2 linked regions of the Nothobranchius furzeri genome follow. The protein of the gene in region 1 interacts with the protein of each later gene in a biochemical or structural test. Links are inferred from orthologs where the notes say so. Each region holds a gene or a part of one and is shown in the gene's direction. Other genes may lie near its edges. The genes, in order: wbp11 and pqbp1.

Region 1 (3,425 bases):
CTAAAGAAGACTACCTCTTTTGGGTAGGCCTAACATTTCTGCACATGAACCTGCAGGCTTTTGTCGTTTCCCACAGGTGATTTTTACACATCAATGTTTTAGGAAAGGACCTATATCATCCTCTGGGCTGGGGTTAGGAGCAGTGCCAGGTGTCCCACGCTTACCTCCAGGGAAGAAGCCTCCAGGACCCCCACCTGGGCCCCCACCTCCACAGGTCCTGGCGCTGTATGGCATTCCTTCTCGACGATCTTACGGCTCTGACGCAGGTAGCCCGCTGACAGATGCTAGCATGGGTTAGGTTGGTGCGGAGATCAGGGCGACGCTTCCCACTCCCCTCCCTGTCATTTTGACCAGTGATACAAGCAGGTCGGCTGTTTTATACTAGGGTTCGAGCCACGGCTGCCAGAAAGAGGACGTAATGTTTTTTAGATTTTTATTGAGGAAATATTTTGGGAACGGACATTTAAAGAAAGCTGCAGACTTGGTTATCCATGGTAGAATAAACGGCTTCCTCCAGGTCACGAATCGGCTAAGTGACTAGTAAATATCAGAAGAAGAAGAAAATATCATTTCTATAGCGCCTCTCAAGATAAAAATCACGAGGCGCTTCACAAAAACAAAAAATGTAAAAATATAAAAAAGCATGGCATTACAGCAAAAAATTGCTGGAATGCTATGTTGTCAACAACGGTAATTTCTACTTCTACTATGGTGTAGTGTTGGATGCATGCCGTAGAGCATTTTTTAACAGCGTCCTCGTCTTTTCCGACAGTGCGAGCTATTTCTCTCCAAGAATTATTAACAACATGTTGATCACGGTGATCTCTGAGAGCTGAATCATACAAATGTCTGTATTTACGAACCTCTGCCGTACTAGTTCTTGCCGGTCCGCCATGTTTTTCCGTGTCCGACCGTCCGCGTGGTTAGAAAATGTCCTAGGTGCGCGTTGAGGAAATTTTGGGCCGTGCGGAGGCGCGGTGGAGGGGCGTGGTTTTTAAAATGACGCAACTTTTTCGCGCGGAGCCGTGCGGACCTCGCGGACGCGTCAAGCATAAACGAACCTTGCTTGTCTGAGCTAACGTGTGCCGTCAGAAACATTCAAACCATTTTTAAAAGAGAAGTTCAGCTTTCAAGTCAACTAAAGTGCGCGACTCTGCGCTCGTGCTGATGAAGCATAAACCAAGCTTTAGAAATCTGCCTGAACCTGCTGATGTGGGAGGAGTTTCTCTCTCCCTTACTCAACTATGTTCTCTCTCTCTCTCTCTCTCTGTCCCGGGCCCACCCACGGTGCATTATTATCGGCTCTAGCAGCGCTGTGTGTGGGAACATGAAACAGGGAAAATAACCTGAACATGCAGCTCTGGCAGCTGTGGAGCTGGGCTCGGCTCTGGGCGGTACACCCCACCCCCCTCCCCCTCGCTGGCTTTTGCCGCCGCCACGCCATAACACAGGGGGAAACCCCCGGATGTAAAAAAAAGTTACACAACTGATCCTGGATCAGTCGAAACCGCTAAAACCACAGCTTTGACGTTCACGTGATCGTGCTGTTTGAAATCGCGATTTTGGTCCAAAAACGATAGTTCAGCCCTATTCTGCTCAATAAGCCTGTTTATTGTAGAGCTGTTACTAGATATCTCAGATTAAATTGGGATTAAACCCTAATTTTCATGACTTGATGAAAAATCTGAAAGCGAGGAGTATTTTTGTGCTTTTGTTTAATCCGTCATCAGATCTCTCCATTCCTGGCTTGGAGAAGGAATCTGCCCTGGACTTGGGCCGGGATCAGTACAGCGGCAGCGAGAGCGACAGAGATCGGGACGATCTGGATGACAACAGTGACTCTGATGAAGACAGCGAAGAGGACAGGGACGAGGAGGGAGACGGCGAGCAGCGAGGGCGTGCGGAGCGGCGGGCTGATGGCGGGGAACGGGAGGAGGACAGAGACAGAAGTGAAAGACATGCCGGTCAGTGCTGCAGTGTGTTTGAGCTCCTGAGTGTAATCCTAATGGCTTCGGGTCCCTCGTGAACGTGTCGTTCGGGTCTCTGACTTGCTGCAGGACGCAGCGTACGCTTCGCAGATCTGCCAGGAGATGATTCCCATGATGGGAAGAAGAAGAGAGGGGCGAAGAAGACCAAGGCCATTACGCCTCTGCAGGCCATGATGTTGAGGATGGCAGGTACGGTCATGTGATCACGTTCCGCCTCACGTCCTGTTCAGAACTAGGGTGCATGACAAGTCTGTCGTCCTCAGGTCAGTCGGTTCCCGACGAGGAAGAAGAGGAGGAGGAGGGAGAGGAGGAGTTCACAGATGAGTCGGACGCGTCTGACACCGAGGACCGGGCTCCACCGGCAGACGGCCAGTCCCAAGTCGTGGCCAGTCAGCGCCTCCCCCCTCCTGTTGGGGCCGTGGGTCAGCAGGGACCCCCTCCACCTTTACAAGGCCCACCGATGACTGGTCCTCCTCCACTGGGCCCACCACCAGCTCCTCCAATGAGACCTCCCGGTCCCCCGTCCGGCCCACCTCCTGGCCCCCCACCAGGTTAGCTTCATTCAGAAGAGATGACTGTTTTGGTGGCGGGACGCGTTTCTTATTTTCTCTTCTGTTTAGGCGCTCCTCCGTTTTTGAGGCCACCTGGTATGCCCGGAGGAATTAGGGGCCCGATGCCTCGTCTTCTGCCCCCTGGTCCTCCACCAGGTCGACCCCCTGGTCCTCCGCCAGGCCCTCCTCCCGGTCTTCCACCAGGTCCTCCACCCCGCGGACCCCCACCCAGACTACCACCCCCGGCACCACCAGGTAGGTGTATAAAGCTACAAGGAGGTACTGCGTAGTTTAATGGATGTGACTGCACACACCTCAGTGGTCAGCGGTTCCATCAGGACAGGTCTTCTCGTTGCCGGGTTGTCCTCTGTGACTTTTCCAGGTGTTGCATTCAGCTCCGTTTCCAACCAGACGACTCTGTTTCAGGGTAAAGCTCACGAGCCCATGCTTGAAAACTGCTCACCACGCACTCTGTAGCGACACGACAGACCTTCGGACCCGTAAACCCGGGAGCGAGGTGAACGTCGTGCTGCTACCGGCGTCTGTTGTCCCTCAGGCTTGCCGTAGTTAGAGGAGGACGCGCTGGGGTTCATGGGGTTGGAGGTAGAGGAAGGAATGACATTCAGGAAGTAACCCGAGGTTTGGGGATCCAGGCAAAAATGCTTAGAGACACTGTGTGTGTGTGTGTGTGTGTGTGTGTGTGTGTGTGTGTGTGTGTGTGTGTGTGTGTGTGTGTGTGTGTGTGTGTGTAGACACGGAAGTGGCTGGGCAGCCGTGGTGCTGCTCAACAGTGTCCCTCACCAGCAGAATTTCACACGTTTGATTTTCCTGCCACCGCGTGATTGCCAGTCGGGGGCTGGTCGCGAGGCGTTGGTCGCTTTGGTGA
Region 2 (4,363 bases), on another chromosome or scaffold:
TAGAGAAGAGACCTCCCCATACGGCAAAGCTACCTGGTAGAAGAAGCACGTCAGTGCTGAAGCTCAGTTTAGAGAAAGGGACCAAAATCCTTCAGTGGTGTGTGAGGAGCAGAGCAGCAACGGGTCAAACCTCCAATCTGTGGGGCCCTCACTCTCACTGCCTTTGCACTTCCTCTTAGTCTGTGTCCAACACCCTGAAATGTTACAGACAGGTTTATAAAGGCTTCCAAGAAGTCAAGTCAAACTAGTCTGTTTTAAACTCACAGCAGGGGCATTTCGGAAGCCCTTGATGGCCTGGAACACCCCTCCACCGATGACACCCATGGAGAAAGCTCCTCCACAGTCGTCCACAATCCTCCAGGGGCTGCAGGAGGTTAGGGGAGGACACACAAGACACCGTCAAAATACAAGATATACAGTCAGATCAGGATACAGACGTCAACGGAACTGCGCTGCTCTGGGTGGCTGCATGTTGGAGTAGCTCTGTTGACTATATGTAAGTTTTGCCTTTTCTTGGGCATTTTTTCTTCTAGTTTCTCAAGAGAAACGGTATTTTTTTGGACACTACTTTTCTGTTTCTGGTGCTGTGAAGCTTGGAGGATTTTTACTGCTATTTTTTAGCTTTTTACACTTTTTGAGCATTTGTTATGATGCGTAACCATGGCAACAAGCTGGTTTACAATCGGGAGCAGCTGATTAACATTGGAAAGGCTGAAATAATACCTCAACTGAAGCCACAAATCCCAAATGAGCTAAAACGCAAGAAGCGTGGGTGCAGAGCGGGAGCAAAACGGAGACAGAGAAAGAGGAAATTCAAACCGTCTCTTCCATCGATCATAACGGGCAATGTGAGATCACTGGCCAACAAGATGGAGGAACTCCAAGCCCTTTCAAGGACTCAGCCAGAGTTTCGGCAGTTTCGGAACCGCTGGAGGAGAAAATGCAAAGGAGGATTCTCCAGAGAATCAAGAAAATTATGGACAACCCTGAGCGTTCTCTTCACAAGACTGTCCGACAACGGAAGAGTGTCTTCAGTCAGAGGCTTCTTCAGTTTGGCTGCAACACTGACCGCTACTGGAGATCCTTCCTGCCAACAGCCATTGTAATATACAACAACTCTTTGATGACTTGTTTATTATTATTATTCTGAGCTACTACAGCAATCAATTTCCTCTGGGATTAATAAAGTATTTTTGAATTGCATTGAACGTAAGCACGTATATATACGTGGATTGACAGCAGAACTCACAACGCGTCTCTGTTCTCTCACATGTTTATGTTTCACTAGAAAAACCAACACTGGTATGTATGTTAGCCGTATTTAGTTTACAGTTAAAGACAAACTAATCTTACCAAGGTTCGCGGACATATTCCTCCATGTTTGTTTTCGTCTAGACGTTGTGACGTCATACACGTGCGACCGGCGCTACTAGTGCGTTGGCGGTGCTAACATCATTTTCTCTGCTATTGGGTGAATTTCTTTATCTCAGGTAAACTTGTTCCTGTTCGGATCCCGTTTTGAAGCGTAAACGTTCAGATTTTCGTTCCTTCCGGGCATGGAAGTACTTACGCAGTCTGCTTGTTGATTTAATCATCCAGCGGTTGCTAACAGGGTTAGCCTTCGGGTAAACGTTTGTTGTTCGTGCAAATAAATGCAGATTTTACGAATGTCAGACTGTTTCTACATCTGTAGTTAAAGTCTTTAAAAATAACACAACTCAAATGTTGAACATAACTTCAACTGAAAACGTAAGAACAGCATTTATTCAAATTGTATTGAAAGCCCGACGCCTTTTACTGCGTGTGCTGTTGGGAGCTTTATGTTCTCCATATTTCATTACAATGTTTTATCTGAAAGGTTTCTGTTCAGATGTTTATTTGTTATAAATTAACTCGTTTTTGTACGTAATTTGGCAGTAAAGAGACGTTTTGTTTATTGGGATAAACCCCGTTGTGTATAATTGAGGCTGTATACTTTAAATATCAGAACACATGAGAAACAAGTAAATTTTCTGTATCTTTGCTGTGGATTTATGAAACCACTGACCTCATGTACAGATGTTCGAGGTGACTGTTGTGACAGCATCTCGTGTTTTTCAGGATGCCTCTTCCTCCAGCTCTGCTGGCCCGCTTGGCCAAGAGGGGGATCGTTAAACCAACAGAACGAGGTTCTCATTTGGCTTGAACACGCTGGCTCCATGCATCCTTCTCTGTGACTTTACACGTATGTCGTGTAACAGTATTTTCTCCTTTAATAACAGGTGCAGATGAGGAGATTATTGCCGAAGATTATGATGACAATAATGTAGATTATGAAGCCACCAGAGCAGAGAATCTTCCTCCAAACTGGTACAAAGTGTTTGATCCAGCTTGGTACGTACACTGTACTGGTTATCTACGGTTCTTTGGTAGTTTTACCTCCAGTGCGCTTGTGTTTGGGTGTTTGCAGTCCAGATGAAGCTTTCCAGTGAATTCACAAAGCGATGTCATTGGGTCTCTTTTACATGTTTAGTATGTAAGCTGATTAGCCTTCTCTTCCTGATTTCCTGCCACCCTCAGTGGTCTTCCTTACTACTGGAATGTTGAGACGGATCTAGTCGCCTGGCTGTCCCCAAATGACCCCTCGTCTGTGATAACAAAAGCTGCCAAGAAAATGAAAGGTGGGTTTAAAAACTAAACTCGCCAGTTTTGCATAAGTGTCTTTAAAAAAGAAACGAGGAATGTTTTTCACAGAAATTGCATTATTATTTGTTTTTAGCTGATTTGGGAGATGAAAGAGGAGAGCGACCGTTTGAGAAGCCAGACAGAGAGAGAGAACGGGAAAGGGACAGAGACAGGGATAGGGACCGGGAAAGAGAAAGAGATCGGGACAGAGACAGGGACAGAGATGATGGGCGGGACAGAGACAGAAGAAAGCAAAGGAGGGACGACATGGCACCATACAACAAGAACAAAAGAGGTGATGCTTACAGAAGTCTTTCGTTTTCACGTTAAAGCTTTATCTGTGATACAATAACAGTTAAAATCTGATCGTGTTTGCAGGAAGAAAGGATGACGAGATGGACCCCATGGACCCCAGCGCTTATTCTGATGCTCCCAGGTAAAGTAAAACAAGCAGCAGGCAGGAAATTACCCCTGTCGTCATTCCACTCAGTTACATGTCAGCTTCAGCTTTGTAAGTTAAAGAACAAAGCAGACATTTAAGTCTTTAATTGAATGCACAGCACTGCAGCAGCGGTGTAACATGATGCATGCTGGGTAGAAACTTTGGACGACTGCTGCTGGCACTGCAAAGCAGGCGCCAAGTCACGTGGCTCTGAAACCTCATGGGAGCGAGGTGGCTGCAGTTTTCTGAGTCACACGCTGCAGTCCCTCTCCTCCGGTTTCACCCTCTGGGCTGGACCCGCCGGAACTGAACTCTGGTGCATGATCATGTTTTTATTTACGTCTTTAAAGCTACTTGAATCAAACATGTGATTTATACAGTTTTAGCCTCGGGGTCTTCTAAAGTAGTCGTTCTACTTTCATTAGTATCATTTTTCTTTCGGCCAAGCTTTCTGCAGTCTAGGCTTTAAATTCAGCTAAATCCCGTGTTTTGGAAAAGCTGCACCTGTCACCTTGACCCATTATTACAACTTTCTTTACATATTATTTATTCAAAACTCAACGCCTGGCTTTATAGTGATGGCGTCTTTAGCCGCATCTATGGAAATGCCACTAATGCACACTTGCAGGAATAAAATTTGTAGTTTTCAACAAGTGGATTCCTGGAAGGCTTCTGGCTGAAACGGGTACTAAAGGGATCGGGTTCTGTGGTTTGTCCTGTCGACTGAAGTCAGAACTTTAGGTTTTTTTTGCAGAACAGCCCAACACATTTGTGTTGTGTGTAAAAACGCTCATTTGTGAGTCACTCTGGACAAACGCGTCTGCTGAATACACGAAACGGTCAAGTTAACCAGCTGAAACGGCTCTAGCGCTAGCTAAACAACCAGGCGTTAGCAAACAAGCTGGCCCACTCTAAAGGTCTGCTGAACTGTTTTCCACAGGGGCTCTTGGTCGAGTGGTCTTCCCAAACGCAACGAGGCCAAAACCGGTGCAGACACCACAGCCGCCGGCCCGCTGTTCCAGCAGCGGCCGTACCCGAGTCCAGGCGCGGTGCTGCGGGCCAACGCTGCCAACCAACCGCCCAAGGAATGAGAAGCGCTCCCACGGAGACGCTCTGCGTCCTGCGCACACCTCTTGTTGTTAGACGTGATGTCGCATGCTGACATTTTAGAGATCAAACTTGTTGTAAATATGTTTTATAATAAAATGGATTTCATGTTGTTACTAGAACCACCAGTTAACATAATCAGTTCTTACT

The links.
Region 2: the proteins of wbp11 (region 1) and pqbp1 form a complex in vitro, tested with the Homo sapiens proteins (2 studies listed by BioGRID and IntAct, with this or other methods). The link is inferred for Nothobranchius furzeri from reciprocal best matches to the Homo sapiens genes WBP11 and PQBP1.

What each region holds. Positions count from the first base shown.
Region 1 is NC_091752.1:67,492,847-67,496,271, reverse strand, and holds part of wbp11 (WW domain-binding protein 11), read left to right. Parts: coding exon 1-23; intron 24-102; coding exon 103-266; intron 267-1,730; coding exon 1,731-1,964; intron 1,965-2,057; coding exon 2,058-2,177; intron 2,178-2,251; coding exon 2,252-2,539; intron 2,540-2,608; coding exon 2,609-2,794; intron 2,795-3,425. UniProt on the Homo sapiens protein: Activates pre-mRNA splicing. May inhibit PP1 phosphatase activity.
Region 2 is NC_091755.1:41,961,434-41,965,796, forward strand, and holds pqbp1 (polyglutamine-binding protein 1), read left to right. Parts: upstream 1-1,379; 5' UTR 1,380-1,490; intron 1,491-2,047; coding exon of another isoform or gene 2,048-2,052; exon of another isoform or gene 2,053-2,100; 5' UTR 2,101-2,101; coding exon 2,102-2,168; exon of another isoform or gene 2,169-2,171; intron 2,172-2,261; coding exon 2,262-2,373; intron 2,374-2,559; coding exon 2,560-2,660; intron 2,661-2,758; coding exon 2,759-2,959; intron 2,960-3,042; coding exon 3,043-3,100; intron 3,101-4,046; coding exon 4,047-4,197; 3' UTR 4,198-4,335; downstream 4,336-4,363. Other genes in the region: timm17b (mitochondrial import inner membrane translocase subunit Tim17-B), read right to left, coding at 1-33, 131-194, 265-364, 1,354-1,379. UniProt on the Homo sapiens protein: Intrinsically disordered protein that acts as a scaffold, and which is involved in different processes, such as pre-mRNA splicing, transcription regulation, innate immunity and neuron development.